Linked DNA regions of Struthio camelus. The protein of the gene in region 1 interacts with the protein of each later gene in a pairwise test. Links are inferred from orthologs where the notes say so. Each region holds a gene or a part of one and is shown in the gene's direction. Other genes may lie near its edges. The genes, in order: HMBOX1, MFAP1, AEBP2 and FAM161A.

Region 1 (7,926 bases):
ATGTCTTCCGTCTACTGAGCCAAAGGATGTTATTCTGATAAAGAGAATTTTTAAGTGAACAAAGTCTATTTATGATATCAGATGATGCTGTTCATTTGTACTCATCCGCTCCCTCCTCCCAATACACCATTTCACACAAAGCACTCCAGCTGCAACCCAAGAAGACACAGACTAAGTGCTTACAGGCCGCAGAACATACCTCTGAACCAGTGGCAATGGGAGGAAATTGAGGGTAGAGGTCATATCCAACCCGCAATCCAACATGATGGTGGTAGATTTGAACTTGAGTACGTTGCATGGTAAGGTTGGATGTCCTGACAGGCAGTACTGACAGAAGAATATGAGAATGAGTTAATCATGATCTTTATCAACATAGCAACCATCCATAAAATAGTCCTTTTTTCTAATTTTTAAACAAGAGGTAGTTTCATGAGCGCCAAAATGAAATCTAGTTTTCCACAAATTTGTGTCTCATAGCTGTGTATGTGTTCATTGAAGTTTTCCCCATGCCAGGGTATTACGAGGCAGGTTTTCTTCAGTCCAGGTTTTCTGATCCTTAACAAAGGGTGAGAGAACGACATAGCCCCTCTTTCTATTTTAGGACACGTATAGAGTCTCCCTCTTTAACACCACCTATTTTCACAAAATTCCTTTGAAACTAATATCTTTAAAACTCAGTCCTACTGGCAAAACTTGCCTGAAATTGGCTAGAGAATTTAAAAAATACTTGAGGAGGAAAGAGAAGGGAGAGAACTCCTACAGCATCACAAGATTTACTTCCTTAAGAAACCAGGCTAAACAAACAAACAAGGAGCAGCCCACACCTTCTGTGGCTCCTTGAGCCAGCTCAGCAGAGGAAACTGTGCATGTGCGCAGCAGCAGCAGCAGCTCTGGGGCATGCTCTCACCTGCTTTTTGTCTTGCTAAACGCAAACAGGAAACACTAGGGAACAGACAACCCTACCTGAATGGAATGGTTTGTGTACTGAAAAAACCCAAACGCTTTCCAAGCTTAATGAGCCAGTAAGCAGGTTATGTACAGGGGCACTTCAGCATCATCCAGATGCAGTCACCTCTTGTATGGAGAATGGCAAATATTTAACAATGAACAGGAGCAGCTAAAGCTTTGAATAAGAAGAGAAGTGAATAAAAATGCCGCCTTTAACAAGTGGGAGTAAAGAAGTAAATGTTCAAAAAGAGTGTGGCCACCTTAGCATGAGGGTTTCTCTTTGGCAAGAGATTCAATGCATCTTCAGGGATTGCAAGAACAGGAGATTTTGCATCTCGAATACAACACTTTGCATCTTAACGTTTGGGCATCTGGCAGCATAGCAACTCTCGGATGGTCAAACTTAGCTCTTTAACCCCAATCAACCACACTGGAATTTAAAATATTAATTGGTTGTCCATGTACTGCTTTGACTATAAAAACAGTTTTCGTCATTTTTCTAAGTCATTTATACCTTATGCTTACTTCCTACGCTCCACTCTGCTAAGTGGAAAGGAGGTAGATTAATCATTTTATTCCCTACCTCTGCTCATCACACATTAACAAAGAATTGCAACTGTTTGGATTAACAACTCCCAAGGAGACTGTTTACTTACATTCCTCAAAAAGCAGTTTTAAGTTATATTTAAATGCTAAAAAGCTATTAAACCCCAAATAGTACATTCAAAATAATCACAAAGACTTTTGTTTTAAAATTCATAAAGCCTTAATTATTAACAAGCAACATTATGTTTGCCTGCTGTTAGCATAATTTAAGAAAACCTTAAGAAACCAAGCTGGTGAGTAAGGGATATAGGTATGGAATATGTATACCATATGAATGTATACCATATGGTATACATATATGCATATGCATATATGTATTCCTTATATATATGTAAGGAATTCAGCTGCTTCTTTTGTGAATGCAAGATACACATGCGAAATTATGTTTTCACCACACCAGAACTTTGACAGCTGAAGGTACAACTGAAGTAAATAGAAAGAAATGGGGGGGGGATCTTAACTATTTTTATAGCTTTTAAACTATCGCTAATTAAAAAAGCAATAAAATATCACCACTTTTATCAGCAAAGCACTCTCTTGCTCTTTTTTAAATCATGAATAGGATCATGACCCTGACATTTGCGAGCTAACTGGAAAATCTTCCTCTTTTCTTCCTTAACAGCATCTACAATAATCTATATTTGCTGTCAAGCTGTGGTAAGTGGATTCCTGAGAGTCAGTGGATTCTTTCTTTCAATTCATGTAAAGCGACCAAAAAACCATAAAGTAATTCATATATGCTATACAGCTATTTGCACATGTGGTATTTCGGGGCCTGTACAATTAGAATTTTTGTTTAAGAATTCAGGAATTCTAATGCCTGCATTATACATATCTCTATATGTACTATAAATGTGACGGACTATTTCCCACACAGATTATAGCTGTTACCGCTTAAAATAGATCCAGAGATCTAATATTCCTGATCTGACTAAAAGACAAGTCCTTTTTGCACTAATATTTGCTTTCTTCTATCTTTCTTCCATTATGACTGAAGGTTAGCGCAGCTAACACAACAGGTACTTATACTCGTAATTAAAAAATAGCAGTGGAAAAAGCTCACAAAATATGTACAAAATACTATAAATACGCCCATCTCCGCTCACAACTTTCTCAGCAGGCTTTGTAAATTGGATGAAAATCTGATGAAAATCTGATGAAAATCTTGAGTGGGGCGCAAAGAGACCAAGACGAGGGGTTAATTCCAAATACTAAAACCCTCATAGAGAAAGGTTCTCAGCAGACAGCTGGTTCAAGCTGAGCACTTGCCAGCTCTGAGTGTCTCTGGTGATCTCATATATGGCAATGTGACAGAGAAAAGACATGATGTCTCAAACTAGCCACTCCAAAATACTGAAGATTTCGCAGGTTAAAGCCAGTGCTTTGAATTACAACTGAAGCCAACATAGACTGCAATGCTTTTCCAATGTTATCACACGCTAGCCTAAAGTCTAGGGGGAATTTTGCAACTGGATTTGTCCGAATCAAAGCACGTTAGAATTTGTGGGAGTCTCTCATTTGCACTGGATTCCGAATCAGGTCCAGAGACTTGTTTCCTCTATCCTGTTCTTCCAAATTCAGACTAAATATATGACAAAAGAGGATGAAATACCATCCCAACTCCTACCTCCACAACCCCAAGTTTCAGGCACAACTCCAGACAAACACAAGATGAAGAACCTGGTCTTATGCTCCTGACCTCCAAGTTTGTAAGCAGGTCTAAAACTGTTACAATATAGATTTCAGATAGCTTGCATTTTTCCCACTTCTTCCCTCTCTCTGCCCTCGTACAAGAATAGGATGGGTTTTGCTTCTCAGTGGCTGGATAGAACAAAGAATTCTGCATTTCCACTATGGTTTTCATTTGGAGATTTCTCAGCTTGCTTTTTGTTGTGCCTTATATCGATCTTTACAGTCATGTAGAGAACTGCTTAGCTTTGCACAGTTTGTCCCACTGGTCGTACTCATGCACACACAGAGACTTAATCACATACGTAAGATTATGCAGGATCAAGCTCTTCAGCCACCTGTCTACTGAACTAATTTTACACAGTTAGCCACAGCCAGTGATCTACCAGAAGTCACAAAAGAAGCCCAGAATCCAGGTCCACTTCTATGAAGCTTTCTCAAGACAAACTGCAGAGTTTCAAAACGGAGAGACAATCGGTCTCTCCTTAAAACAGGTTTAATAGTAGTGTAACTTTAAGTTAAAGAAATCAAATGTAATGCTCAGAAATTTTGAAAGCTGTTTCATTTTTCATTTCCAAAGAACTGCAGCATATTGAGCGGACAATAAATCAGTGGCTGAATCCAAATACCTTGGAAAACTTAAATAGTTGAAAAAGGAGATTTATACAGTGGGTATCAATAACACGGAGTGATGCCTTTTCTAATAACCTTCCCTTTAAAACATTATACTATTGAAAGCAAAATATCTGTCATAATCATAGCGCGCCCTTGACAAAGCTATTCCAGGATGATTTTCTTCTGAGTACTTATTTGCGTGACTATCATAATAACTATAAAACATGGATATGACCTCTGCTATGAACCATGGAGATTTATTAATATTTCTAGAGTAATTTAGCGGAAGCCACACGTGCAACGGGCTAGCTCCTGTCTTGCTCCAAGCCGAGGTTCACGTTCAAGGAGGATATGAAGAAACAGCTCTTCCCTCCAAATCCCGCTACCGCTTAACCTGATCTAAAACCCAAAACGCAGAGAGCCCCTAAAACCACCGGCGGGGTGAGCGGCCGGGGGTGGCGGAGGAAGGAGAGGGAGAGCCGGTTGCTCAGGCCTAGGCCCCTTAGCACGCGCAGGTGCCTCCCCGGCGGCTCCCCGACGACCGTTTAACGGTCACTGCCGGGCCGGCACCGGCCGGATCGCGGAGCGGGGGGCTGAGGCCGCCCTCCCCCCACAACGCCACGATCTCCCGCATGGCGGCCCCCCCCTCCCACCCTTACCTACGTCCCCCAAGCAGGCCCCCCCCGCAGACCCCCTAACTACACGGACTCACCAGCTTCATGCTTTACCCGGTTCTATTTACTGGGACAATCCTGCCCCCCCCCCCACCCCGCTTCCTGCCTAGCCCCCCCTCCACCCCACCCCGCCCCAGAGCATCATGGGACTTGAAGTCCGGCCGCCCGCCCAGGATGAAGTCATGGCCCCCCTCTTCCACCTTGCCCTCCTCTCCCGAGGCATGCCGGGAGTGGTAGTCCGCTCCGCGCTTCGCCCCGCGCTCCGCCGGCGCGCCGTGCCCCCGAGGCACGCTGGGAGTCGTAGTCCTGGGACCGCGGCTCTCCCCGTCACCCTGGGGAGGGGGGGACTACAAGTCCCAGGGTCTCACAGCGGCAGCAGGTGGGAGCTTGGATGTTGATATCAACATGGCGCTTGTCAGACAGACAAAGACAGTCAGTCTGGTGTGATTGAGCCAAAAAAAAAAAAAAAAAGAGAGAGAGAGAGCAAGCGAGAGGGAAAGATAGAAGGAGAGAGAGAGAGAGACGGGGTGAGGGGTGCTCTTTCCCTCGGGGGGGGGGTTGGGGAGGGGGGGGGATCTGGCAGCCGAGGGATTTTCCCCCCCCGCATTGTTCTCGTCCCTGTGCACCCCCGCGAAGCTCCCCCTCAGGCCGGGGCGGGGGAGGCAGGCAGGGAGGGGACCCCCCCCCCCTCTCCCGCTGTTCAATGGTGAGGTGGCGCAGGAGCCCGGATCCAGAGGTGAGTGTTACTTGTGGGGAGGAGGAAAGTGTGGGGCCGGGGAGAAGAAGAGGGAGGGAGAGAGTAGGGGCGGCGAGGGGAGGGGGCGGGTGGGTGGGTGGGCTGGAAGGAGGGAGGGGAGGGGAGGGAGGGCGCAGGGTCCCCCCCACCCCCGCCTCAGCCAGCGCCGAGGCTGCCTGTGGGGCAGTCGCGCCGTGCGGGCGAGCGGCTTCCCTGGCAGCGCAGGAGGTGCGTGGACGAGGGGGCAGCCCGGGGGGGGCCGGGTGGGGCAGGCCGGGCCAAGGCAGGCCAGGCCGGGCCAGGCCCCTCAGCCCGCGCCGCTTGTCGCCGGCAGAGTTTTGTGCCGCGGAGCTGGGTGGCTCCTCGTCTCCTTGAAGCCGCGGAGCGGCGGAGGAAGGTGCCCCTTGGAGCCTGGGGTGGGGGGGCTGCTGAGGGAGGGCAGGGCAGCCTCTCGCTTCTCCTCGGAAGGTTTTTTAAAACGGGAGAGGAGCCCTTCCATTTTCCTCCCTGGGATTTTTATTTCATTCCATTTATTTATTTATTTATTTACCCCCCCCCCCACACACACACACACCACCACCCTCCTTGGGTGGGAAGGGAAGAACTCGCGGTGGCAGAGTCCCCTCGGGCTGGGTGGGTGTGTTTATTTTTGTGGGGTTTTATTTTTTTTTTGGGGGGGGGGGGGAATGTGAGTGTGTGTTTTGTTTTGTTTGTTTGCTGCCGGAGTTGGAGCCCGGGGTTGGGCTGCTGCCGCCTCGTCGCCTGTGAGAGGGGGCGGCGAGGGCCCCCCCCAACCCTCCTCCTCCTCCCCCCCCCCTCCTCCGGGCGGGGTGTAGGGGGGGGTGCTGGCCCGGCTCGGCAGCACTTTGGCCGAGCAGTTACCTCGGGGTTGAGGGGGGAGGCCGGAGGGGGAAGGTGTGCGAGGCGGATCGCCCCCCCCCCCCAGCGGAGGGGTTATTTTGGGGGGGGGGGCGGTTAAGCCCTGGGGGTGAGAAGGGGAGAGGGGGCCCCCGCCGGCGACGGGCAGATCTGTTGCTGCTCCCGGCGCTTTGCCGGGGTTGGGGGGGGGGGGACAAGGCGTGAACCCGGAGGGTGTCTTGTTGCTGGAGAGTTTTAACGTGGGTGGGGGAGGAGGAGGACCCGGAGGGAAGTCGTTCCCCAAATGTGCTTGGAGAGCTTGGGTGGGGTGTCGTACGCGTGGTGGTTTTGTACTTCTGGAGATTTTGGGGCGGGGGAGGCGTAAACGTTCTTGCTGTCTGCGATCTTCTTCGGGAGAAGAGTGGGTTTGACCCCCAGACGGTTTGGAAGAAGCGGTGGGGAACGCTGCTGAACTGTTTCGTGCTGCTTCGGGGGGGTAAAGTGACACGAGCCACGAGTGTTTTTACGGGCGAAACCTACGCGAGGCGGACTGCGCTGAGTTCTCCAGGCTCAGTTTCGTCTGATGGGTTTTTTTTAGTTGTTTTAAAGAGTATCTCTTGGTATGTTTGCAGAGCACTTTTTTGGAAACCTTTTTTTTTTTCTTTTTGGCTTTTTTGTTCTCTGAAAAAAAAAAAAACCCTTGATCATGTGTACTGTTTTTCCTTGCCCCCTCATATATAGGGAAGAAAAAAATGCTTTTTTAGGGGGGAGGGAAAGAGGAAGAGGAAATGAAGATTGCAAGCCTGTTTGCTCTTCGTAGAGTCAGGTATATCTTAATTTGTTCTCAAGCTTAAGTAACGTTAGAGGTACGGATAAGTGGCTTTAAGTACAAAACGTGTATGAACTAAAGCTAGGAAGATTTAAACTTGGCAGGGAAGAAAGCGTTAAGCTGATGGCCAGGGCACGCGGTTGAGAACACGGTCCGAGCAGCTCTGATAGACGCTGGCTACGTGCCCCTGCTTCAAACTAATGGGGATGGAGGAGAAGGAAACTGGTGGAAAAACTACAATTTGCATGAATGAGAGCATGTAAAATATACCATACTGGAGAAATGGCCTGTGCTAGGCAGATAATTTGTGGGCTTTGCAAAACCCTGAAGTGCCCGCCTGCGTCCCATGATATGTGACTAGCTCATTTCTGCAGGGCTCATCAGGTACGGACTCTGCTTCCTTCCTGGGATGGTGCAGCTGGCATTTGATTTCCTCCATGGATGGGAGAGGAGGAGTCCTGTGCAGTTTTTTTTCCTGAGATGATTGCATTTTCTTTGGCCTTGCTGTACCCTGCCTCATTAGTAGGAACTGCATCTATATTTATTTACCATTATACCATGTCTCTTGGGATGTCGGGTGTAGTTTGGAGTAGGTATATATGGATTTATCACTCTTAACGTTTTTTTTCCTCCTGTCACGCCTGGGCCAAATCCTTCAACAGCAGAGAGCAAACTTAATTTAAGTCTACATTTTGCATCTCTCTTTTTGCCATTTCTCTTCCAAATTGTGAAGAAAACATTTCTGAGATACAGGTTGGGGAGGGAAGTAGGGGAGAAATGGGAGATGGATAGAAGAATATAAGGCTGGGATGCATTTGTTATCTGCATGTTCTAGGAGCACTGGGCTCTCTGAAGAGTGGGGTTTGATATTGCGTGTGTAAACCGTGATCCTGGGATTTGGGAATGCTGTGTCTTTTCTCTTATATGAAAATTCTTGTTTAACCCCGTGACAGCCACAACTTTTTTGTGTG
Region 2 (7,821 bases), on another chromosome or scaffold:
CATGTAAAAATCAGGTCAAATTTTGTCCTGGTTGCAGAGATTGCACAAGCTTCAGCAGCAAGGCGACTGCCAGTCTGCCCGAGCTGCCGAGAGGCTGAGCAGTGACGGGGAAGCGCCCTCGTCCACAGGCACCTGCATGGGGGTGACCCGGGGAGTTTGACGGGGCCGCAGCTGAGCTGCGCCTAGCAGCGACAGGGCGAGCGGAGACGGCAAAGCAGGGAAGCGCTCTAGGGGTTCCCGTAAGGAAAGGCAGCGGAGGAAGGACAGAGGCCCTCACAGAGGAGAAAACCAAACAAACAGCAATAACATCACAGAGAGGACATCAAGAGGGACCAAATCAATAACTAAATATTTACTTAGAGCGCAGTGGCCACACTGCCTGCTGCTCCCATGCAACCCTCCCACGGCAGGGGGGGGGCTGAGTCCGCAGCCCTCCGCGTTGCTGCGGACACGTTTCCCCAGCCCCCCCTTCCTGCACAGTTCTGCTCCCTTTCCCAAACCTCGGGGTGCAGATCCCACTTTCCTCTGGAATCTCTCCAACCCCTTCACCTCACGTCACTTCACTGCCGGACGCTACCAGCAGGTTCCTGAGACGGCCTTGGCGCGCCGGGAGGAGGGTGCGGAGCTGCAGCGGCTGCAGTCCCCGGGCTGGAGCTGCGTCTGCAAGGTCCCGATGGCTCACGAGGCGCTATTCATAGTCACGCTCCTAGACATAACATTTTATTGTGGTCACACACATGGGATTCTCGAGATCCACCCCAAACACGCTGACCTTGCCCTGCGGTACAGTTTGCAGACACAAACAGTGGCGGCTCAGAAGGGGGCTGTAACTTTATCTGCCTTCTGACTTTGCCGTCAACAGCCATAAGGCCGCCGAGGTATCAAATCCGCAGCCCGCCGTGCTACCGCCCCTCTTCAGCTTTGCTGCTTTACACCCTGCCACCTCATGCCCTGTGTACAGCTTATCGCTGTTCACGGCAAGGGACACCCCTGTCTGGCCTGAGCACCCCAAGGTCCCTGCCGCAGTCGGGGGTCTCAGCACAAACAGCAGTGCAAACAGGAACACAGGTGCGCGCGCGCAGGAAACACCCGTGCCAGCCCGTGGGCAGGACCCCCTTTTTCTCCTTAGGCTGCAGTGAGGCATGGGGGGTCGCTCATAGATCTCAACAAAGAAATTTAGTCCAAAGCCTGACGGGCAGAGGTTTTAGCCAGCAAGTTGACAACGCAGCAGGGAACGGAGCTGCCCGTGTCGGGTGCCGGGGCGCAGCGAGCTCGCACGCCGCCCCACGGCACCCCGGCTCCGCGAGCGCAGGGAAGGGGCAGCTCAGGCTCGCGCCGCGCCGCCGCCCCCGCCGGAGCCCGGCCCCGTGCGGACCGCCAGGCTGGCTGAAGGCTCGGGGCCGACACGTCGCCGCTGGCGCCCGGGGCCGGGGCTGAGGGGCATCGGTCCCTGGTCTGCGGAGGAAGGCGGCTGGGGCCGCTGCCCGGAGGCACAGGCTCTTGCCAGCCTGCCCTGTCCGCAGGGGATCAGCTAGGGAGGAGCAGCGACAGGACACCGCCGCTCCCGGCCCGGCGCGGGCTGGCTCTCCCTGGCCAGGGCAGGGCCAGGCCGCACCGCAGCAGGCTCCCTCAGCCCCCCTGCACCAGCTCAGGCGACTCCAGCACTCGGTTTCTGCAGCTCGGCTGCGGCTCTCAAGGGCACGCGGGGCAGAGGAGGCACGCTGCGGGCTCCGGGCTGCTTTCGGCCGTTGCTTCAGGCTTCTGCCGTCCCCCAGAACCGAAGCCAGCCAGGGAGAGCCCGTCCCTGTTTGCTGAGGTCTTTAACTCCACCTGAATGGCACATTATGTGCTTTGTGTGCAATTCCCAAGCTCTCCTTTAACAGTTAGGTCTAATTGTTTCACCTACTGAGTCACATGTTGAAGCTCACTCCTTGCCATGGTGACACTGGATTCATTAGGTGGGAACACACTGTGATAACCACACAAGATTAATATCTCATCAGATGATCAAACGCAGAGCAGGGAGCTGGGCCTGGAGCTCCAATTGCCGTCAGGACGTAAATGCCAGAAACACCGAGAGCTCTTGCTTATTCCTGGGCATCAGTTGCTGTAGGATTATAAAGCCACTAATGCCTTGTCTGCGAGGGCAAACCGCAAGCTGGCAGGGCACCGAGGGAGACCCACAGCACTGGGGCCCTGCCCGAGCGCTCCATCCCTCCTCCTCTCGCAGCTCTGCAGCCAGGCTGGCCAAATCCCCCAGCTCCTGTAAGCACAGAGGCTCCTGCGAAGGCAGCAAGGTCTGCCTGGGTCTCGCCAGCAGAAACAGGGATTGTCTGAGACGCAAAGCTACCGAAGAGCGCTGCAGTAAGCACCTTCACGCAGCGCCACGCCACGGGCTGCGCCCGGGATGCCCTGGCCACAGGCAGCCAGCGCTGCGAGATGGGCTGGCTCTGGCGGCGCTGCCCCAGGCCCAGGGGCCTCCTCGCGCTCTCGGCCTGCAGCCAGGGCCTTAGCCACGCTGGCAGGAGCCGCTTTACCCAGCTGGTCCTGCCCCGCCTCTCGCAGAGGGGCCGAGGACAAGGCGAGAGGCTCCCCCAAGACAGAATCCCCCGCAGCGTCAGCCTGGAGACCTCTGCAGCAGCCCTGGGACGCCCCGCGGCCCCCGACGAGCAGAGCCCGGACCCAGGGGCAGTGCTGCTGCTGAGAACCACTTTCTGCCGCTTCCTTCCACACCCCGGACTACCCCGCTCCCTCAGAACAGTAAGTTGCACTGGCTAAATCACATCCTCCCACGAGGAAACCTCCCAGCCTGCAGCCCAGGACACCAAAAGGAAGAGTTTGCTGCCTTTCCTTTGGGAGCATGCTCCAGCGCTGAACCTCCATCTGGGAAAACACACTTGCTTTTGGATTTCCTGGGCATCCACCTCTAGCAATGCCCATCACACCCCGTGGCCTCCGCAACGTGCCCACGAGGGCCCCTGCTCGGGGCTGGGCAGGGCGACCACCTGCCACGCGCACGGCTAACACAGCACTCATCCCTCCCCACTTCCCAAATTCCTGTTACGAGATGTGTCGCAGACTGGCTCAAGTCCTGCAGCTAGGTTTCCTGGAAGATAAAAACCTCTTCCTTTCTTTCAAGGCAGCACAAAATTGCAGACGTTGGCTTGGTGGTTTGTGACATAGTTTTGCCCTACTTCAGAAATCTTGTTTTCCGTGCCACAGAAAAGCAGGGCAGCTCTTGCAAGCTGATCAGTTCCCGAACAGCCGTTTTCCTCTGTGAACTCTAGCACCTCCTCGGAGGCAATGACCGTGGTGAATGCGTGCTTACGTGGGCAGCACCCTGCCACATTCAGAAAATCTTTCTCCCCTGCTATGAAACAGCCACGCCCCCAGGCCCTTCCTGCCACACACATGCCACAAACCTCCCGTCACTTGCACTGGGAAAGCCCCAGGAGGTTCTGCAGTGGTGGCAGTGGGAGAAGCATCTCCCCCCACAGAACAGCAGGAGAGTCCCGCTCCTCCAGGGTAAGTCAGCCTCCAGGTGCTCACGGTGCTGCAGCGAGAAGCGCTGCTGCGTAGGGAGCTGTGAAGGCGTCCTGGCAGCCTGGGAAGACACGAACCCGAGCAGCGAAGCTCCTGCTTGGCTTGGTTTGCTGCTAGTTTACAGAGCAGGAGGGCCCGGGACAAGACTCTGATCAACACAGCAGTGAAAAACCTTCACAGCTCCAGGCTTTGTCTCAGGTCAGACATCAACCCCAAGACCCAGCGTGGCTGGCAACAGGCACAGCACGAACTAAGACCCAGCGTGGCTGGCAACAGGCACAGCACGAACTGAACCCACAGCAGCTTCTGCAGTCGGACCCTACCATCCACCCAAAGAGCAACAGGTTCCCCTGGCCGTGCTAGGAGGAGCTCTGCAGCCCCACCAAGCACAGGATGCGTCCCACAGCCTCAGCAAGACCCTGCAGGAGTTAGAGGGACGGTGGCACCGTGGAGCCGCTGACATCCAATATCCATACAGCTGTACAGCAGCTGCTGGCTCTGCTTTTGCTGCTCATCATCTCCACTTTAGCTGCACAAATGGAGAAGGAGCAGGAACTTACATCACGGGCTGAACATCTTTTCCATTCAGAGTTCAGTCACTAAATTGGAAGAAGGGGGCCGTGAGCATCTGTGCCTCAGTCATCTCTCACCCCATGATGGTGTGCTTTATCTAGAGCGACACTACCTCGGGCAAATAATTCGAAACCCAAAAGGCTGGCAGCAGGCGGAGACCAAGACTCTAGATAGAGCCAAAGGCCCTGAGCACCAGGACGTGGATTAGGGAAGAGGCGACCAGATGCCCCAAGAAAATCGCAGCCCGAGCAGCGGAGGGCCAGAGCCCCAAGGCCCGAGGGAAGCTCCGGCCAGCAGGAAAGGCCTGCTCACGCGTCCCCCGTTCCCCAGCGCTCGAGAGGGCCCTTCGGGGCAACTCCGCACCCGCGCTGCGCCGCCAGCGCCTCCCCCCGCCGCCCGGCGGACCACGGGGAAAACACACGCAGCAGGTGGCGCAGCCGAACGCCCCCGCCCCGCCCGCCGAGGCGCGACGCCGCCCGTCGCCTGGGTGCCGGCGGCGGCGGGGGGCAGCGGCCCGCGGGGGGCGCTCCCCCGGGCGGCGCGGCCCAGCGCCGCGGCCCGCAGCACCCCCGGCCCGGCCCCAGGCGGCACCGGCAGCCGCCCCCGCCGGCCGCTCCCCCGCCCCGCCCCGGCGCGCCGGAAGTGACCGCCGCCAGTGGCGTCACTTCCGGCCAACGGCTCGCGGGGGCGGGAGGCGGCGGTTCCGCCGGAAGCGGGGGCGGCCGCAGTTCCGGTTCCGGGGGAGGAGGGTGCCCGCCGCCGCCAGAGCCGCCGCCGCTGCTGCCGCCGTCCCGTCCCGTCCCGACCCGCCGCCACCATGTCGGTCCCCAGCGCCCTCATGAAGCAGCCGCCGATCCAGTCCACGGCGGGCGCCGTGCCCGTCCGCAACGAGAAGGGTGAGCGGGGCACCGGGGGGGCCGGCGGCGGCGGCGGGGGGGGGAAGCCCGGGCCCGGTGGCGGCCGGCCGGGCCCCGGTGACGGCCGCCCCGCCCGCAGGCGAGCTCTCCATGGAGAAGGTGAAGGTGAAGCGGTACGTGTCGGGGAAGCGGCCCGACTACGCGCCCATGGAGTCCTCGGAGGAGGAGGACGAGGAGTTCCAGTTCATCAAGAAGGCGAAGGAGCAGGAGGTGGAGCCCGAGGAGCAGGAGGAGGAACTCGCCAACGACCCGCGGCTGCGGCGCCTCCAGAACCGCATCAGCGAGGACGTGGAGGAGCGGTGAGCAGCGCCTGCCCCCGGAGGAGACCCGGCCTTCCCCAGAGCCTCTGCCTCCGGCCCCGCTCTGCCGCTGACCGTCACCCAAGCACGGCCGCGCTCTCCCAGCCCTGCGGGAGCGGTCTCCAGCGCTGTTGGCGCGGGTGCTGGATCGTGCCGCGGGCCGCCGCTGTGCCGTGAGCACCCCTGAAAGCCAAGGGTCACGGCAGCCCCGCGTTCAGGAGCGGTTTGGCTGGCCCAGGGGAACAGCGGGTTCTGAAATAAAAATTAACACAGCGACACCTCTCTAGGCTAGCGGGAAGATATGGTTTCATCTGAATCGTATTCAGGGCAGAAAGTATCTGAGCACTGTTTACCTTCCCCCATAGAGGTACTTCAGCCTTCAGCACTAGTAAAGGGGAGGCTTCCCACCAAAAACACAAATGGGGAGGAAAAGCCACTGCCTGGCTGCTCCTGCCTTTTAGGAAAGGACATGCTGTTTCACTCCCAGACTCAGTCGTTCCAGTTTTTACTATGGCCTCATTAAGAACAATTCACAAATAGCCATCTTTCTGCGGTCTCTTTACGCTCAAAGTGCTGTAGTTCAACTAGGGTCTGTTACAGGCTGGCCAGACACCGTAAAATTGTGGAGCCTGAAGTGGTTGGAGACAGCGATTCAGAGGTGGAGGGAGAAGCTTGGCGGCTCGAACGGGAGGACACCAGCGAAGAGGAAGAGGAAGAGATCGATGATGAGGTATGCTTGCAGACCTGAACAGACTTGGCTTAAGAAAGCCCCTGAATGACACAGGCTGGAATAACCCATGTACGTGTGGAAAAGGCTATCTGGTGAAACTAGGGAGTTTCAGGACTTGCAGGTCACTCCATAGCTGGCCATGACTTAACTCTGGGTTACCTGTCTCTTGCTGCGAGGTGGGACGCTGGGTGAGGCCACCTTCCATCCTGAGGGACGGGAACATCTTTTTGTAACAAAGAGGTTCCAGACATGTCACTTCTGGCACAAAGAATCTGAAAGGAACTGGCTTCCTGCCTGAGGCAGAAAGTCTGTGGGGAAGGGAGCGGTAGCAGGGCTGCTCCACTGACTCCTCTGTGTTTGATGCACCTCCGTTAGGAGATTGAGCGTCGCCGTGGGATGATGCGCCAGCGAGCGCAGGAGAGGAAGACCGAGGAAATGGAGGTGATGGAGTTGGAAGATGAGGGTAGATCTGGAGAAGAGTCTGAGTCAGAGTCCGAGTATGAGGAGTACACAGACAGTGAGGATGAAATGGAGCCACGTCTCAAACCTGTCTTCATCCGCAAGTAGGTGACACGGTCAGGCAGGTCGGTCCTGTGTGAGGATGCAGGAGGCAGCGGCTGGGCGCCAAGCAGACGGTCACCGCTGTGATCTCCGCTTCGTACAGCGGGGCGGTAGCACTGCCTGCCTCCTAAGGGGAGGTGACAAATACCAGCCTGGCAGGGCACAGCTGAGGAGTAACGGGTGTTCGCTGAGCGGCCACGGGCAGCTCTTGCAGCTGTGTCAGGTCACTGCGTGGGACCAGCCGGTGGGTTTCATCGCAGCAGGGTTGTGCTAGGGCATTTGGGCAAGCGCTGTACAAAGAGCTGGGAAGCTGGCAGAGGGTAGTGCACCACGGCGGGTGCCTCGCGCTCTCTTCTCTCCACGCATGCCTGTAGCTGTAGGGGGAATTAGCAGGGCTGCCCTGGCTTGGGCAACAGCAGGAAGGGGAGAGCCCTTGAACTTGGCTCTTACTTGGAGAGTAAGGGCTAAGGGTCACTGCAGCACGGGAGCAGGATAAGTCTGTGAGGGGTTCGGCTGCATGGGCTCACGCTGAAAGGTTGAAGGCTTTTGTGGTCTCTGTCTATAGGAAGGACCGGATCACGGTTCAGGAGCGAGAAGCAGAAGCCTTGAAGCAGAAGGAGCTGGAGCAGGAGGCAAAGAGACTAGCAGAGGAGAGGCGCAAGTACACGCTCAAGGTACCGCGGGGCTGGCTGGGGGTGGCACAGGGAGGGTGGGCACTGCAGCAGGCTTACTTTCACCCTTGCTGCAGATTGTAGAAGAGGAAGCAAAGAAGGAACTGGAGGAGAACAAGCGTTCGCTGGCAGCACTGGATGCACTTGATACAGATGATGAGAACGACGAGGAGGAGTACGAGGCCTGGAAAGTACGTGAGCTGAAGCGTATCAAGCGGGATCGTGAAGAACGAGAAGCGTAAGTATTGTCTCTGCTTAGATCTGTGGCTGAGCGTCGGCAGGCCCAGGCCCTGCACCCTGCAGGCCAACTGACGGTTGAGGCCTCTCTTCCTCAGGCCTGCTTTTGACAGCACACTCTTACCTAGACAAAGCATCCAAAACATTTCCTCTCCACCCTCAGGGTGGCCTTGCTCCGCTGTGGAGTCAGTAAATGCAATCCCTTAGAAAGGCTTTCTGCAACAGTAATTGTCCCGAAACATTGCCGTGAGAGGTGCTGATTCTGAGGGGTTTTTGTCCTGCCAGCATGG
Region 3 (7,825 bases), on another chromosome or scaffold:
TAGTCTACAGCCTCAGCTTTGGGTCACAGCCTAATGGGGCTATAGAAGAGGGACTCTAGGCAAACATGCATTCCCAGCAGGCTTCCTCGAACCAACCTAACTGAGACGTGATGTTTCTTATGGTCATTGCCCTGCTTTCTAAACAAATATGGGGAAAGATTAAAGGCAACTTTAAAAAGAAAAAGAGTGCAGGGAGTTTAAAGGGAGGATTAACTGGCTGCTGGAGGAGAGGGTGGGGTTAGAAATGCAATTGAAGGATGAGGTATGAGGTAGTTTCAGTTTGGTCTGAACAGAAGGGTGAGAAATGAGTGCTGGATGCTTAGCTGAAGGAACGGGAGGTTGCAGCCTCTTCCTCGAGACCTTGGATTTGGACAGGGCAGGGTGGGGCACAAAGGGAAGGGTGCAGTGTCCAGAGGCTGCTGAGCAGGCAGATTATTGTGAGCAAGGTGAGTCATGAGGTTCAGGCAGCAGGAATTTCCTGCAGTGTTTAAGACATACATGCGGAGGCAGGAGGAGGAGAAAAGAGGTCAGTGACCAAGTGTCTTGTTTTACAGAATTTCCCCCATGCATTCTAACAAGTACAAGACAGGCTGTCATTTTTCCTGTATCTTATGCCTATGGTATTTTTTTCCCTCTCTTTTTATAGACCTTTCTCTCTGTTTTGAAATATTTTGTTTGCATACTATACCTTATAAGAGTATCTTGATGCTGATCAACATTAGGAAAAAAACTCAAAACATTGCATAAAAAGTACCAAAGCTGAGCTACTTCTGATGATCTCACTGAAGTGTCCTTTAAAAAAAACCAAAAACCTGCAAAGTTGCTGCGACTCAAGAAAAGAAATTACTTTTTCGGAGTGCGCGTGCTCATCATTGACTCTGCTGTCAAAGTGAATGCACCTGCACCTTTGTGTTCCTGAGGTAAGACAATAACAGGTATGCTCTTAATTTCTTCTCCCTGCTCTGCTGTGTCTGCAATGCAACATAAATCTCTCTCAGAGATTTGTTAAGCTTGTTGTTTGTTCTTCTGCTAGTGGAGAAGGATTCTGCTTGGACGCTTTACCACGAACAAGCTTTAGCTAGCTTATCTACTGACTTTTGTTTACTTTTGTACCTTGTTGAGAATATCTTTGGAGTACCAGAGATTAGCATGTCTCATCATAAGTCCTTCAGCTTTAAAGTATTGTCTCTGTTGTAATAGGATCATACCAAGTTAGACCGAGCATACCGGCAGCCCTTTGTGTGAATGAGAGAGTAACATCCACCCTTACAGTGTAAGTAAGTGGATGTGTAAATTCTTTTTTTCCTAAAGGATTTCCTAACAGCATGTCCCTTGCTTTGAGCTTTCATTAGACCATTTAAATATAACTAATTTTGATGCTTTTGCAAGTTCTAGACTCACCTGTTCTCACACAGAGCTCTTCTTTCAAGACTGGAGCCAGGGTTTCAAAAAGTCAAAAACCATAGAGAAAAAGGAGATTGCCTTTGCTAAGCTGGAAAATTTGTCACAGGAAAAACTTCAATAACAAGAGACTCAAGTCACCATTGCTGCTGCTTGTATTTGATTGACTTTATTGCAGTGCTCAAGCACCAAGTCTGGATTGAGGATTTGGTGGTCCTGAAAACAGAACAGCACACCAAGAGATCATCAAAGAGTATTCCTTTGATGACTGCTGCAGTACTAACCCCTTTGGTACTGATCTCTTGCTTAAATGCTAACTGCTTTCCATTAGGCAGACTCCATACTGTCCTTCCTATTCATTTGTGCCCTGAGGTTCATTTCACTGGCCCTCTTTGAATAAACAAATGACTACCTAATGAACTGGCATCTCTACTGCTCCACTTAGGAGAGTGAAAAGTGAGAGGTCTGAATCAGCCAGTATGCTTTTGGTAAATAACAAATACGAGGAACCTTGGGGGCACTCATGACCTCAAGAAACCCAGACGGATAATAAAAAAAAAGAGTATAGAAATTTGATATTGTGGAATGTATTTGGACAATGTACACTAAGGTACATGGAGTTCTTTCAGATAAATAACTTTTTTTTTTTTTCTTTCCTTTTTTGCTCATATTCATAGGTTGTGAAAGGTGCCTTTTATGTAGCTCCATTACACGTTTTTGGTTTCTCATGACCTGGTACCTCTCTGATTCTGTCCCTCAATGCTACTGACCTTTAGACAACTCTAGAAAGGAAAGGAATTAATGGGTAAAGAGGCATAGGAATTGTTCTGGTTACTGCTGCCTTTTGACTGAGTCAAAAGGGTTCTCTTTTTCTTCTAAACCTCACTCTTACTGTGTGATGGGACTAGTGACAGTAACAGCCATGCAGGAGTGCCACACCTTTGTAACTGAAGGGGGAGGTATAGAGCAAATTGTTTCAGGTGGGGAAACGGGGGCGAGCAGAGATGATGCAGAAGCTGAGAGTTTGGTGACTATTCTAATGGACTTAGTAGAGCAATGATACATCTATTAAATAGATTAATTGGGATCAAGCAGTCCTCATCTTCAGTCTTGTCTACCTGCTCATTTTAAGCATTCTTACCAGTTCCATTTTCTAGACTAGTTCCATTCCAGGCTGAGTCTGGTTTCTAGAAATCTGAAAAACTATCATGACTTTTTTACTGTTGTTGTTTTTTAAAAAAATTGCTTATACTCATCCGCGCATTAAAGATGTTGTTAGTTTGACTTTAAAATTAATTCCATGCCCTGTCCCTTCGCTCCGGTACCGTGTTGCTCTTTCACTACCGTGACATTCTATTTTGATGTTGCTGCGCTAGAGATTGCTGACGTTGCTGCTAACAACTACTTTGTTGATGGGCTAGAAAACAACTCCAGTTATGCTAATGTAGGTCTTAGGAGCACCCTTTCCAGAGTTTAACCCAGTGCGGTTAACTTTTGCTTGAATGTAGGATCTCTGTGGATATGCCGGATACGCTTGCTGTAACTTGAACTGGTGATGTTCTTCCTATTATGCAGTTTGCACAATATTGTTTCTGGATTGAGTTGTGGTTCTGTGTTTTGTTGATTGCTTTTAAACTAAACTACCACCACTTCATAATTTTTTAAATGTGGCAAGCTCTGTAAGAGTTGGGTAAAGACTGACAAGATGTGCATGTGACATCTAAAACTCATATGGAATGGTATGTTATGCATTCAATTATTCCCCTCATCCCTCTAAAAATTTGTCAAACTGCCTAATTTCATCTGTTTTTTTTTCCTTTTCTACCCACCTTCCTGTTTTACTGCAAATCCCCCTCCTATCAACCTTTTCTAATCATTTCCACATGACAATTTTATCAAGTATTTCTTAATGTCTACATAACTAAAACGCTTGTCAAATAGCCAGTCAGGTTAGTCTGACATGATCTAACGTTAGTAAACTTTATCCCATTCTATGTTTACATTAAAATGCCTTTCTCAGTTGTTCTGAAGTCTTTGTATGTGATTGACAATCATCTTTTCATTTATCATTCACCTTTCCTTCTTAAATACATGCACCACATATTGTTACTAGATGGCACAGAGCCAAACTTAACAAGTTTACTAATCTCTGTCCCTCCAAAATGAAACTTGGTTTATCAAAAAGAGATTATCCAGTTTCCCCAGTTCTAGTACACTAAACTGTTTAGTTTTACTTCCACTTAAATGCAATCATTTCCATTTTGCATTTGCCATTAGTCAGTCATACTGCTTATGCCCCCACAGCCAACACGCTCCTTACTGAAGATGGAGGTTTCAGGCCATACCGAGTTTATTCTCTTTGCTCCCCCCTCACTGCATAGCTGGCCTACTTCTTCATCCCATTCCGTACTGCTGAAAACCTTTTTCTGTCTCCTTTGTGCCTCAGTTGAGCTTGTCTTTTGACAATTCCCACTCAGTAATGTCACATCTTGACCTGTACCCTGTAGCTCTCTTTGCTGAGGAGCCTTGTTTTTCCCTTTCTCATAAGCTCCATATTGTCCCCTCCTCCGACTCCCTTTAGTAACTATTAGTCCAGTCAGGCCTGGCGTCCCTACAGCTTCCTCCGCTTCCCCTTTCTTTCATGGATAGAAATTTCGCTAAGTTTTTTTCTCAGCTGTGGTTCCCGCTCTCTTTGCCCTGGCCGGCCAGCCGGCTACCCACAACTACCGGGCTACCCAACTTCAGCTTTTTAAAAAGATGAGGAGCCTGCTGCGGCAGTGAAGCCGGGGCTGCCGCGCCGCTGGGGTTATTTGTGCGAGTGAGGGCAGTGAGGGCAGGCGACGAGACTGCTGGCGCAACTCGCGGCCGGGAGGGACTTGTTCTCCCTTCCCGGGCTCGTCCTGCGGGACTTCCCCCTGCCTATGACTAAGTAGCGGCTCTGCCCACCCCCGCGACGCGGTGATTTTTCTGAGGGGAAGGCTGCTGCTGCTGCCGCTGCCGGGCGATGACGCGCCCGCTGCGAGCCGTTGGGAGCGAGGCAGAAGCCCCGCCCCTCCGCCCGCGGCGGGCTCGGCCGTTAACGCCCCTCCCGCGCGCCTCCCTCGCCCCCTCTGGAAACGCGACGCGAGGAGCCACTGCTCCGCCCTTCCGAGGTTTTTGTCCCCGGACGCGCGCCGTAGCGCGTGCGGCGACGGCAGCGGCGGGCGGCCCGGCGCCCCTCCTCTCTGCGGCTCGCGCCGCCGCGCGATTGTGCGGGTGAGGAGGGCCAGGGCGGGGGGAAGCGCGAGCAAGCGAGCGGGCGGGCGGGCGGGCGCGCGCGCGCGCCCGGGACACACGCACGCCCCCGCCCCCTCTCCCCCCCCACCCCACCCGTGCGCGCGCGCGCGCGCGCTCGCAGCGACTCGCAGGCGCCATGGCGGCCGCTCTGAGCGACATGGCGGAGCCGGAGGGGCTGCTGCTGCTGCTGCCCGGCGAGGCGGCGGCGGCGGCGGCGGCCGCCGCCGCGGCCGAGGAGGAGGAGGCGGCGGCCGCTGCCGCCGCCGGGGCTGGAGCCTCGTCGTCGCCGTCGTCCTCGGCGGCAGCGGAGGCAGAGTCGCTGCTGCTGTTGAACGGCGAGGCGGAGAGCATGTCGGAGCCGAGCCCGGAGAGCGCCAGCCAGGCCGGGGACGGAGAGGACGAGGACGACGAGGAGGAAGAGGAGGAGGAGGAAGAGGAGGAGGAGGAGGAGGAGGAGGAGGGCGGCGAGGAGGAGGAGAGCAGCCTGGTGGGCAGCAGCAGCAGCAGCACGAGCAGCGGCTGCTGCAGCGACGAGACCCGCTCGCTGAGCCCCGGCGGCAGCAGCGAGGCCGACGCCAAGGAGGAGCCCAAGGGCCCCCGGGGCAGCCAGGAGGACGGGCTGGGCCGCGGCGGCGGCGGCGGCGGGAGCAGCTCCAGCAGCGTGTCCAGCAGCGGCGGCGACGAGGGCTACGGCACCGGCACCGGCGGCGGAGGCGGCGGCGGCGGCGGCAGCAGCGGCAGCAGCAGCTGCAGCGCCACGTCGGGGGGCCGGCGGGGCAGCCTGGAGATGTCGTCGGACGGGGAGCCGCTGAGCCGCATGGACTCGGAGGACAGGTCAGTGCCTCCCTCCGCGTCCCGGGCCAGGGCCGGCGCTGGGCTCCGCCGGTGGCCGCGGCCCTGCCGCGGGCGCCATGTCCCGCCGCCGCGCGGCCCCGGGCTCCCCCGCGGGGGCCCCCGGGCGCCATCTCGGCGGCGGCGGGGCCGGGGCTGTCACGCCGCCCGCGGGGCGGCGGCGGCGGCGGCCGGCAGCCACAGGTTTCCCAGGCCAACTTGTGCCGCCCGGCGTGCGGGGCTTGGCGGCGGGGCAGAGCCGGCCCGCCGCCCCGCCTCGCCCTGCCTCGCCTCGCCTCGCCGCGGCTGTGCGGGCCCTGCCGGCCTGCGGGGGCCCTCGGGGGCTTCTGCCGCTTCTGCCCCGCCGACCCGGGGCGTGCGCGCTTGCGAGGGAGCCGCCGAGCTGCTGCAGAAGTCACTCACTTGGGTAGGTGCCTCGCTGATAACCGCCGCAAGTGCCCCGCTGGGTTACGAGCAGCACGGAGTAACGTGTGCTTAGGCGGTAGTGGTTGGCTGTTATTTCCCTTGGAAGCTGGTGTTTTCTCTTTGGAAGATGCTGAGGTTGTGTCCTGCATTGAAGGGCAGGCGGGATGCCCTAAAGCTTAAGGGTAGGAAGTGTTTTGTGGGCTTGTTCTGCCTGCGCCCGTGTGAGCCTCTCCGTGCTACGAACGAACAGAATGTCAATCTTTTCAAGCGCAAGGGGGAAAAAATAGCTTTTCCAAAATAAAAAGGTAGCTAGTCTTTCAGTATTAAGCACGCACAAGAAATAAGCCTGCACAGTATTAAGCGTGGCGTAATAATCAAATGTAAAAGTTATCTCTGTAGCAATGAATGTGAAGATTATTTGGGGTTTGGATCATCTTTCTTGTACTGAGACTTTAGCTTAATTCTTGTGGAAAGGCACAAATTCTTGCACGTGATTGAATTCTACCTTTCAGGTATTGTCTAGTCTATTATGTCAAGTACTTCTAAAGACTGTGGTTTATCTAGTGGCTTTTTCAGATGTATGTGCTATGGTTTAGTTGACAAGCTGAAGATAGGTTGCTTAAGCTGAAGATAGGATACTTAAAATAGTGTAGGTCTCTTTTCTGGTTTGTCCTTTCAAACAGTTTAAGAAGCTAGTGTGCTATTTTTCATCTCAGTTTGGCCTAAAAAAAGTATCTCATTTCCCTGTTAGAATTACAGTTAAGTAAAAACTACAATCTGATTTAAATCAAACAAACTTTTTCTTAAGACAAGTTCATTGTTAAAGTGTGAAGAATTGTGTGTCTTGGTCCAGATACGTATTTTCCGAATACATTAGACTGAATTCCGTATACCTATACAAGTACCCGTATTTCAAAAGTGTGGCGTCAGTAGATCTAGCCTCAGTTATTAAAAACAACTAAAGAGAACCCCTGTGAGTCAGTTCCCCAAAACCATGTAATTGGCCTGAAAGTCTTCAGACTACAGAGGAAAAAAATTCAGTTCTTTGGTTTCCATCTGACTTTTGAGACTTTAGGGTTCACTGGGGCCACGTTTTCTTTTCTCCATACTGTGCAAGATTAGAAAGCTTTTTTTGTGTGTGTGAAAGCTGAGATTTTACATGAAATCACATAAATACGGGAGTAGGCTTCTGGAAAAAACAGCAGATACGTAGTGGAGTTTTAAGATAATCTTTTCTTAGTTTTCGCCTAATCTAAATCTGATCCTAATCTGTCCCGAGTCCAGACCAATTATGAGTTTAGAAAATAACAGAAATGAGTTGCACGGGGTTTTCTGGTGGTAGAGTTGATGTTATGTCTTGCTTGTGCACTCTAAAGCCAGTGTCCTACTTTCTTTCTCTATCATTGTTTTTGTGTTTCTCTTGCTGTAGTGACATAGTTATATCTATGTGTATACCTCTTTGTTGCTCCTTTGCAATACCATTGGTACAGATTCACTTGCAGGAGTGAATCCTTTGTATTCAGCTGTTTAAATAAGGACTGTACCTTCTTTTCAATCTTCGTAAAGTTTTGTCTTGAGCTTCTAGGCGGAAAACATGGGGATGCCAGGAAGGCACTGTAGTTCACAGACACTTCACTGTAATTTCCAAGCCTGTTAGTTGAATTGGACAGGTAAAGAGCAATACTACTAAGAATGCCATTTGTTATTCCTAATGATGGAAAATTTCACTTTAGGTGCACTCCTTGCTGCAGCCTGGTAGACTGCCTTATTATTTTTGCTACATGTAGCCCAACAAGTTACTTGCTTGACCTACTGATCCAAATGACTGCTGTTCCCTGGCAGTGAGTCAGAAAATAGCATGTGCCTTTTAAAGGGTCAGCCAGATAAGCAG
Region 4 (7,874 bases), about 120 Mb from region 1:
CCCTGGAAAAACTGTAACGATTGTGGTACGTGGATCCAACAAACTTGTTCTAGAAGAAGCTGAGCGTTCAATTCATGATGCCCTGTGTGTCATAAGATGCTTAGTTAAGAAAAGGTAACATCTTAGTTTTGTCAAATAGTGACTTAGCATACTAATAATACAGAAAGCTAACCATTTATACACTTAAAATGAGATTTGATTTTTTTTTTTTTCTTTTTCCCCCCACCCTCCCCCCCCTCCCTCCTTCCTTCCTTTCTTCTCTGTTCTCAGAGCTTTAATTGCAGGAGGTGGAGCACCGGAGATAGAGTTAGCACTGCGCTTGAATGAGTATGCTCGCACTTTGAGCGGTATGGACTCGTACTGTGTCCGTGCGTATGGGGACGCACTGGAAGTCATACCATCTACACTGGCTGAAAATGCAGGCCTCAATCCTATTTCAACGGTTACAGAGCTGAGAAACAGACATGCTCAAGGAGAGAAAACAGCTGGCATTAATGTCAGAAAGGTAATAAGGAATCATACATGCACAGCAGAGTTTTTTAGAGAATACATTGGGTATCTTAAAGGGAAAATGCTAAGCATTAGGGCTGAAATAAGGAAATGCCAAATTTGTCTCATGGCTGTATTCTCCCTAAGATTATAGTGTTGGGATAGATCATAGCTTGCTCTTTCAGGCGTTAAGAACCATCTTGGGTATTGATAATAGCAGATACTTAAATGCCATGCACCTAGAACAAGACACTTGTCGTTTGTTGCTTCAGAACCATTATTAGAACAGAAGTCTCCTGCAGTCAACTTCTAGAAAACAGATCTAGGTGGAATATTTTGTCAGTATTATCTACAGTGCTTATATGATGAGATTAGCCCTTGAAAAAATAACCAGCTTTAGAGACCCTTTCCCCTGTAGAAAGAAACAAGTACTACTCTCCAGTTGAGCACTTGCAGATTGTGACATTAACATCACCCTTCCAGGGATTTATCTGGCACGTGGAAAGAAACAGTTTTGGCTGTCCCAAAAGAGTCTTTGAGAAACTTAGTTGTGGTGTATGAGGGGGATAACTGATTGTCTTCACTCACGAAGAACAGTTTTGTGAAATATATTCATTGTAAAACATGGAGTTTGTCCACAGGTGTAAGAACAAATAGTGCTGGAATTGCAGCCTAAAAATACCCGCGTTTAAATAGGTGCAGTGGCATAGGGTGAATAGAGTAAGAAGGATTACTTTTGAAATTTAGACTTCTAAATCTTTACAGCTGTCAGAACCTGATAACAGCTCCTTAAGTAATTTATTCTTAAATGAGTTTAGAATGCATTCCCTAAAGAATAAAGTTAGATAAAGCAGGGTTTTTTTGTTCGTTTTGCGTTCATCTTGAACGCGTTGTTAGCAGCGCGGCAGGCTAGCTACTTGCTTGTATATTTTCCACTGTGTTTAAGCTAGCACCGCTATGTTTGTCGTTCTCTTGGCTAATTTTGAGTGGATTCGTCAAATACTCAGAGGGAGAAGACCTATGCCGTAATATTCCTGTTCCAGAGAACAGAATAGCTATTTGATGATTGAAGTTGAACGTCCTTTCCAAGGTTCTGTTAAAAGGTTACAGTTAGCTTTAACAAGTTATCTCACGTTCACTAAGCAAGCTACTCGTTCTTCCAGGGTGGGATCTCCAACATCTTGGAGGAGTTGGTAGTCCAGCCACTGCTAGTGTCCGTGAGTGCACTGACTCTCGCAACAGAAACTGTGCGCAGTATTCTTAAGATTGACGATGTGGTGAGTAATGTTTGCAGCACATTCTGCTTATGTCCTGCTGTTTACACAAGCACTAGAAAAATTACTGTTATCGAACTTGCTGTATTTCAAAATGTTTCATTCTGTATTCTCAGTTTAAATGCTACTTGACCCTTCAGTCTTCTAGCAACTGCTTATGATAATTAAATTGTAGAACGGTAATTAAAACTAAGTCAGATTGCTTTTAATAATATAAATACAGTACCTTAAAGTAAGAAGTTAAAAAATCCTACATTTTCTAGTCATTTAAATAGAGATTTAGAAGTAATGGTTTTTGTTTTTGTTTGTTTGTTTTTAATTCTTTGCAGGTGAACACTCGGTAAGACAAATAAAGGAAATGGGACTTTGCCCTGGAGTACCTTCCCTGTAGTTTGGAATATGGTTTCCTCACCCAAAACGCCTATGTGAATCGTCTTAAAGTCCGCAAACACTTACGTACTTTTATCACGTTAATTTAATAAAATCTTTGGTTTCAAAAAGCAAATGCTTTTTATCAGTCACAGTATAGTACCATACCTGAATTTTTCCCTTAAAAGGGCCAGGAATAAGAACATATTTCTCAGTGTTACATTTGCTTTTCTGTGCTACGTGATGCTCTTTAGTTCTGAAAAGTTTAACAGCAAATAATTAGCTTTTATCTAGATTCTGAAAAGGCCCTTGAATTAACTCTTCACTACCATAATAACCTCGAGGTGCATCTCTAAAAGTTACTTGTAAGGGAAGGGTGTTTCTTCCTTAAATTTTACTAGAGATAGACTGAAGAAACCCCTTTGAATTGTTACCACCAAAGAATACAAAATTCCACACTATAGTTTTTCCCCTGCAGTATATGTTAGCCCCTGGTACTACCCTATGATAAAGAAGTCTTTCAGTGCGCTCTTTTCTTTGTACTTCATCCATCTGAGAAAACATTAGTCTCCATATCTGCAAGTGGACAAACGGAAATAAAAACTCATTTTCAGACCTGCCTTGCTCATAGATTGACCACAGCAACAACAAAATGGTCTCCTTAGCACTTGGCTGCATGATTGAAGGAGGTAAAATCCTAGCCAGGTCCTCTCTGAATATTGGCTATCTGTTGTTGGACAAAAATTGTCGGGCTCTTAACACTCATAGCTAGTACTTAGAGAAGGACTGAAAGTCGTCTTGCACAACTCATGGGGGCAACAGTGGCACTGAAGACTTAAATAAGCATGGTACGTGCATGATTTCTGAATTCCATGTAGCTCTATAAAATGCTGGAGGAGGTAGCAAGTGTAGAAACAATGAATTGTAAATCTCAAAGCTAAATCTAGTTTAAAAAAGCAGGGATAATAACTGATATTACTACTCTATTAATAGGGTTTTATTTAAAACCAGTTTCGGTGAACTGAAGAATCTCTCTGAAACAGCTGCAAGATTTAGCTCTTCCTGTTCTTTTGGTCACTTCCATCATCCTGTTCAAGTTGACAGGTCTATCTGGGAAAAGCCCAGGACTGAGGCCTTGTTGAACATCTTGGGTACTTCTCTCTCTCACACGCACGCACGCACGCACGCACGCACACACACATACCCTGAATGTTAGTGAGGTTGACAGCCAGCAGCAAGGCTGATTATACTCTTTCTAAGAAAAGGGTTAATAGCTGTGAAAGTAAATGGTAAGATTGTGTGAGATCACTGCAACAGTTAGTTGATTTTCCCAAAACAGGCTGGGAAGTCAAATGATAAATTGCCCTATTTTAAGAAGCAATTCATCAAATACATCCTAAATTCTATTAATACCTGGAGGAAATACGTACTCTTGTTCGAAAAGGCAGCTTCGTGGTCTTGCCGCATCTTGGACAGTGCGTTAGCTAGCACTGCGTACACAGGATGAGTAGGGTCACTTCATGGGGCTGAGCTGTTAGCAGGGTTGTGACCTGCACTGCAGTGGTTTTACCTTGGCTAACAGGAGAATCCTGGCTACATCAGGATTCATTCAGTTTAGAGTGAATGTTAACTACATTTTATGGCTTAGGGTAAAAATATTTCAACTTGCTTCTAACTCTTAGGATGAAAGTCTGAATTAATGCTGTAATCCTCTTCGTTGCTATATTGAGATGATCAGATTCTTCTTTATATTTAAACGAGATTATTTCTCTTCCCAAAATTTATTGCATTTTTATTTGCTATCAAAATCAGATGTGTGGCTTTTGAGGAAGTTTCTGTTACTGAATGTGTTGACCAGGTTTAGTTGAAATCATCACTTTTATGGCTATGTATATCATTCAGAATAATTCAGATATTTTAAAAAGAAGACAAATTAACTGATTTAGGCTTTAAGCTCTGTATGCATGATTTATTGGCTAATTAAAAATATGAATTATGCCTTACCTCACAGGATTACTCCCAGCAATGAGGCCAGTCTTTTAAACTGATCTATCCAGTTCAGGTATTAATTCTTGATTAGAGCTTTCCTTCCCAATCCTCACAGATTTCCAATTCTTGACAAGATTTAACAGCTAGCCTGTACAATGTGATCATTTCATCTGTTTCTTTGCATTAAAAAGTACTTGTAATTTCACTAAAATAAATAGGTCCAGCCATCATTAATGGAAGTGGAAGAGTATTCCTGATGATCCCAGTTTACCCTTATTCTGCAACTATTTGCTCATTTCAAGTAGGAACTGCTCTTAAAGTAGCAGAGTGCTTAATAATTCGAGCTGGGGGCAGGGGGGAGACTGGGTTTGGGAAAGAGAATGCAGCGTTCCAGCAAAAATCCTGCAAAAAGTTATCTAGGAGATGAGTCTGTATAGTAGGAATGGTGGGTTTGGGTGGGTTTTTTTTTTTTTTTTTTTTTTGCCCTCAGACTGAACAGACACGAATTTCAATGCAGTATTTGATGTGTCTCTTCGCTAGCACGTGACGGCTCGCGGTCATGCCCGTTTCGCAGCTGGAAGGCGGCACCGGCAGCCCAGCGGCGCGGGGGAGCCGCCGCCGCCGGGCCGGTGCGCGGGGCGGCGCCCTCGGCCACGGCGCCGCGCAGGCCGAGCGGCTCGGCGGCCGCGGCCCGACCCCGCCCTGCAGCGCCGAAGGCGCAGACGCAGCGAGGGCGGCAGGAGCCGGCCGTGCCGCGGCGGGGCGGCGGGCCCCCCCTCCCCATCCCCTCGCCGCGGCTCCCGCCCAACAGGCAGGAGCCCGCCGGGCCCCAGCAGCCTCCGCTGCCGGCTCCCCGTCAAGAGCCAGAAACGGCGCTGGCGGGCGGAGAGCAGCAGTCTGCGTTCAGAGCCACCGCGCTCTCCCCCCGCACGCAACCGGCCGGCCGCCGGCGCCATGGCGGCGGCGCCCCGGGCCGCCTCCGGCCTCCGCCCCCCGCGCCCGCGGGCCCCCGCCGCCCCCCAGCAGGTACCGCGGGGCCGCGCCGGGAGCGGGAGGCCGCGGGCGGCGGCGGCGCTGGGCAGCAGCAAGGCTGCTGTTGCGGGGGGGGGCAGGCGGGTGGGACGGGTTTTCTCTGTAAGCGGGCGGCGGGCAGGGGCTGCCGAAGGAGGCGGCGGCCGAGCTGTGGGAGCCGCTGCGGAGCCCGAGCTGCGCCGGCAGCGGGGAGCGCCGCCGCCCCGGGGCCTGGCTGCGACGTTGCTGCTGCTGCTCTCGGGGTAAAAATAGCCTGGGAAGCTCCCGTTTTTGAAGACCTTACCAGTGACGTGGCGGAAGAGCAGACGCAGGGGACGAGATCTGCCTGATTTAGCACGCGGAACAGATGGCCGTGCTGCGCTGCCGGGGCCGGCGCAGAGCTCTTAATGAGCTCGTCGGGCCGAAGGGATCCAAGAGCGGATTGAAGAAGCGGGGTGCCTGCCTTGAGGGAAAAGACGGGGTCTTTCCGTGGATGAAGAACTGAAATGAGAGAGGCATACACAGTGTCAAAAGAAACAGCTTCAGGAAGATTCAGCTGGTGCCTTTCATCGGGCATGCTTTAACAGCTTTTTAAATTCATTTATTTGATCATGGCATTCGCTTTATGTTTGATCGCTGCGTTACGGAGAAAACAAGTTTGAGATTTTTGGACCGAAAACATGACAAAACATAAACAAGGCTTTTTTGGTTGGCATGTAAAAGCCTATTAAAATACCTGTGTGGAACAGTATTATCCTAATTGTTTAGATGAAGAAATTAACCCTGTAACTTCTTAAAACATAGTGCCCAAAAAATGACTTAAAAGAAGCCTTTTTTAATAATACTTACTTCTCTGACTTGTTCAAGCTTTATGTTTAAAGAACGTGCTTACCTGCCCCAAAGTGCAAGCTGGCGGAAACACTATTTAAAGTGAAAGTTATGCAAAATACTTCCCATTTCCACAATTCACTGTGAAATAATAATAGAAACATTTATGCAAAAGATACCACATGACTTATTATGAGAATACTTATGAAAATGAGAGGCAGAGAAGTTTGTTTAAAAAATGTGGGTTTTTTAAGCTGCATGTTTCACCATGGGAAAAAATTCACCAAGGAAAAATTACAGTGCTAAACAAGTTATACTTTTAATAACTCCTTTTGATCTTATTTCCTGATATAATATCCTGATTACAGGGATAGACTGTTAAGAATTTAACATGCTTTAGATAGAACCCTTAGTATATAAATTATTATACAATAAGGCTATTCCATATAATGTTGCATTCAAATCTGTACATATGTATCTCTGATGTTACTGTACCATTCATTGGACTTAATCAGATAAAGTGATATTATGAACCTCGGTCCCCTTTCTTCTAACACTCACAAAACTTGACAAAAATCTCTTCCAGGATGGTTTTGATTTGGATTCAAATACTGACAAAGAGCAGACCTCTGTAAATGGGAACTGTGACAAGTGGATGGACTTTTCCAAAATGTGCAATTCAAATCAAGAATATTACTTGAAGCTAGAAGAACTGAAGAACGCCCACCTGGAGACCATGGCGAAATTAGAAAGTATGTATCGGAATAAACTACACCTAAAAGGAGCACAATCTTTGGACAAAAAAGATGCTGCTCCTAATATATGTTATAGGTAAGTTTAATAATAATCTTCAGTTTGGTGGTGCCTTCTGTCTGAAGGTTCTAAAGTGCTTTGCAGACATCAGTAAGTATGGCAATTTTTTTCTGAAGCTGGAAAGTTACCATTTCCGATAAGTAGATAATCATAAAAAGCTAGCTTTAATATTTAAAAATGCTTACTCACCTTGCTAATGAACTATGAGATTTACAGGGGTGTGTGTGAAGCTGCGACTGGGCAGCATGTTTAGTAAAGCATGGTGCCTTTCCTTTAGAAATGCTGATTTATTCCTAATCTAAATTACTTTACAACTATGATTTGGAGTGAATGCCCCATGTTCTTCTCTTTTCCTTTGCCTTGCCTCTCTCCTCTTCCCCAGCAACTCTATCCATTTTATCTTCGTGACACTGAAAGTGGAAATCACTGGCTTTGTGTCAATATTGGCTGGACTCGACTCAAAACAATTTTTTTTACAGGTCAACTTGGGAGAAGAGCTCATATCAGCCTCTAAATTTGCACAGATCCTTTTCTGAGTCTGACTTAACTGATCCTTTAGGTTCAAGTATATCTGATGGGTCTGAAAGTGAATTAGTGTTTGAAGAAAATGGTAGTGAAACTGGATCATCAGCGTTTGCTAAGCAGCAGATTGAAAAAATGTGGGACGGGTTCTCTGTGGAAGACTATGTCCCCCGCACCAAACACAGCTTACCAAGCTCACCAGCATTCAGAATGATGAGGAAGAAGCAGAAGGCATGGTCCCCAAAAGTTACTGTGCCCAAGCCTTTCCAGATGACTATTAGGGAAGCCAGGAAAAAAGAACAGAATGTCAAATCAAAGTCACAGCTTGAAATGGAAAATAACTTACTGAAGAAGCAACTAGAGGAAGAGGCAGAGTGTCAGAAAAAGTTCCGAGCCAACCCAGTGCCAGCATCCGTCTTCCTTCCGCTCTACCATGAAATCGCGGAACAGAACGAAGAACGCAGGAAATGTGTGAAAGAGAGAAGCAAACTTATGCTTTTGGCTTCTCAGAAGCCATTTAAATTCATCGAAAGAGAAAAGCAAAGGAATGAAATTAGGAAAATGCAATTAAAAGACCTT

What was found.
Region 2: the proteins of HMBOX1 (region 1) and MFAP1 interact in binary tests that used the Homo sapiens proteins (3 or more experiments, as listed by UniProt). The two-hybrid records come from large-scale screens. The link is inferred for Struthio camelus from reciprocal best matches to the Homo sapiens genes HMBOX1 and MFAP1.
Region 3: the proteins of HMBOX1 (region 1) and AEBP2 interact in binary tests that used the Homo sapiens proteins (3 or more experiments, as listed by UniProt). The two-hybrid records come from large-scale screens. The link is inferred for Struthio camelus from reciprocal best matches to the Homo sapiens genes HMBOX1 and AEBP2.
Region 4: the proteins of HMBOX1 (region 1) and FAM161A interact in binary tests that used the Homo sapiens proteins (3 or more experiments, as listed by UniProt). The two-hybrid records come from large-scale screens. The link is inferred for Struthio camelus from reciprocal best matches to the Homo sapiens genes HMBOX1 and FAM161A.

The regions. Positions count from the first base shown.
Region 1 is NC_090944.1:9,668,823-9,676,748, forward strand, and holds the start of HMBOX1 (homeobox-containing protein 1), read left to right. Parts: upstream 1-4,921; 5' UTR 4,922-5,268; intron 5,269-5,421; exon of another isoform or gene 5,422-5,496; intron 5,497-6,562; exon of another isoform or gene 6,563-6,952; intron 6,953-7,926. Other genes in the region: INTS9 (integrator complex subunit 9), read right to left, coding at 200-327, 4,571-4,579. UniProt on the Homo sapiens protein: Binds directly to 5'-TTAGGG-3' repeats in telomeric DNA. Associates with the telomerase complex at sites of active telomere processing and positively regulates telomere elongation.
Region 2 is NC_090953.1:487,431-495,251, reverse strand, and holds the start of MFAP1 (microfibrillar-associated protein 1), read left to right. Parts: upstream 1-4,810; 5' UTR 4,811-4,933; coding exon 4,934-5,012; intron 5,013-5,112; coding exon 5,113-5,332; intron 5,333-5,932; coding exon 5,933-6,062; intron 6,063-6,437; coding exon 6,438-6,625; intron 6,626-7,188; coding exon 7,189-7,297; intron 7,298-7,371; coding exon 7,372-7,532; intron 7,533-7,816; coding exon 7,817-7,821. UniProt on the Homo sapiens protein: Involved in pre-mRNA splicing as a component of the spliceosome.
Region 3 is NC_090942.1:73,482,294-73,490,118, forward strand, and holds the start of AEBP2 (zinc finger protein AEBP2), read left to right. Parts: upstream 1-4,813; coding exon 4,814-5,511; intron 5,512-7,825. UniProt on the Homo sapiens protein: Acts as an accessory subunit for the core Polycomb repressive complex 2 (PRC2), which mediates histone H3K27 (H3K27me3) trimethylation on chromatin leading to transcriptional repression of the affected target gene.
Region 4 is NC_090944.1:131,148,230-131,156,103, forward strand, and holds the start of FAM161A (protein FAM161A), read left to right. Parts: upstream 1-4,869; 5' UTR 4,870-5,075; coding exon 5,076-5,147; intron 5,148-6,546; coding exon 6,547-6,791; intron 6,792-7,252; coding exon 7,253-7,874. Other genes in the region: CCT4 (T-complex protein 1 subunit delta), read left to right, coding at 1-114, 271-505, 1,653-1,766, 2,093-2,107. UniProt on the Homo sapiens protein: Involved in ciliogenesis.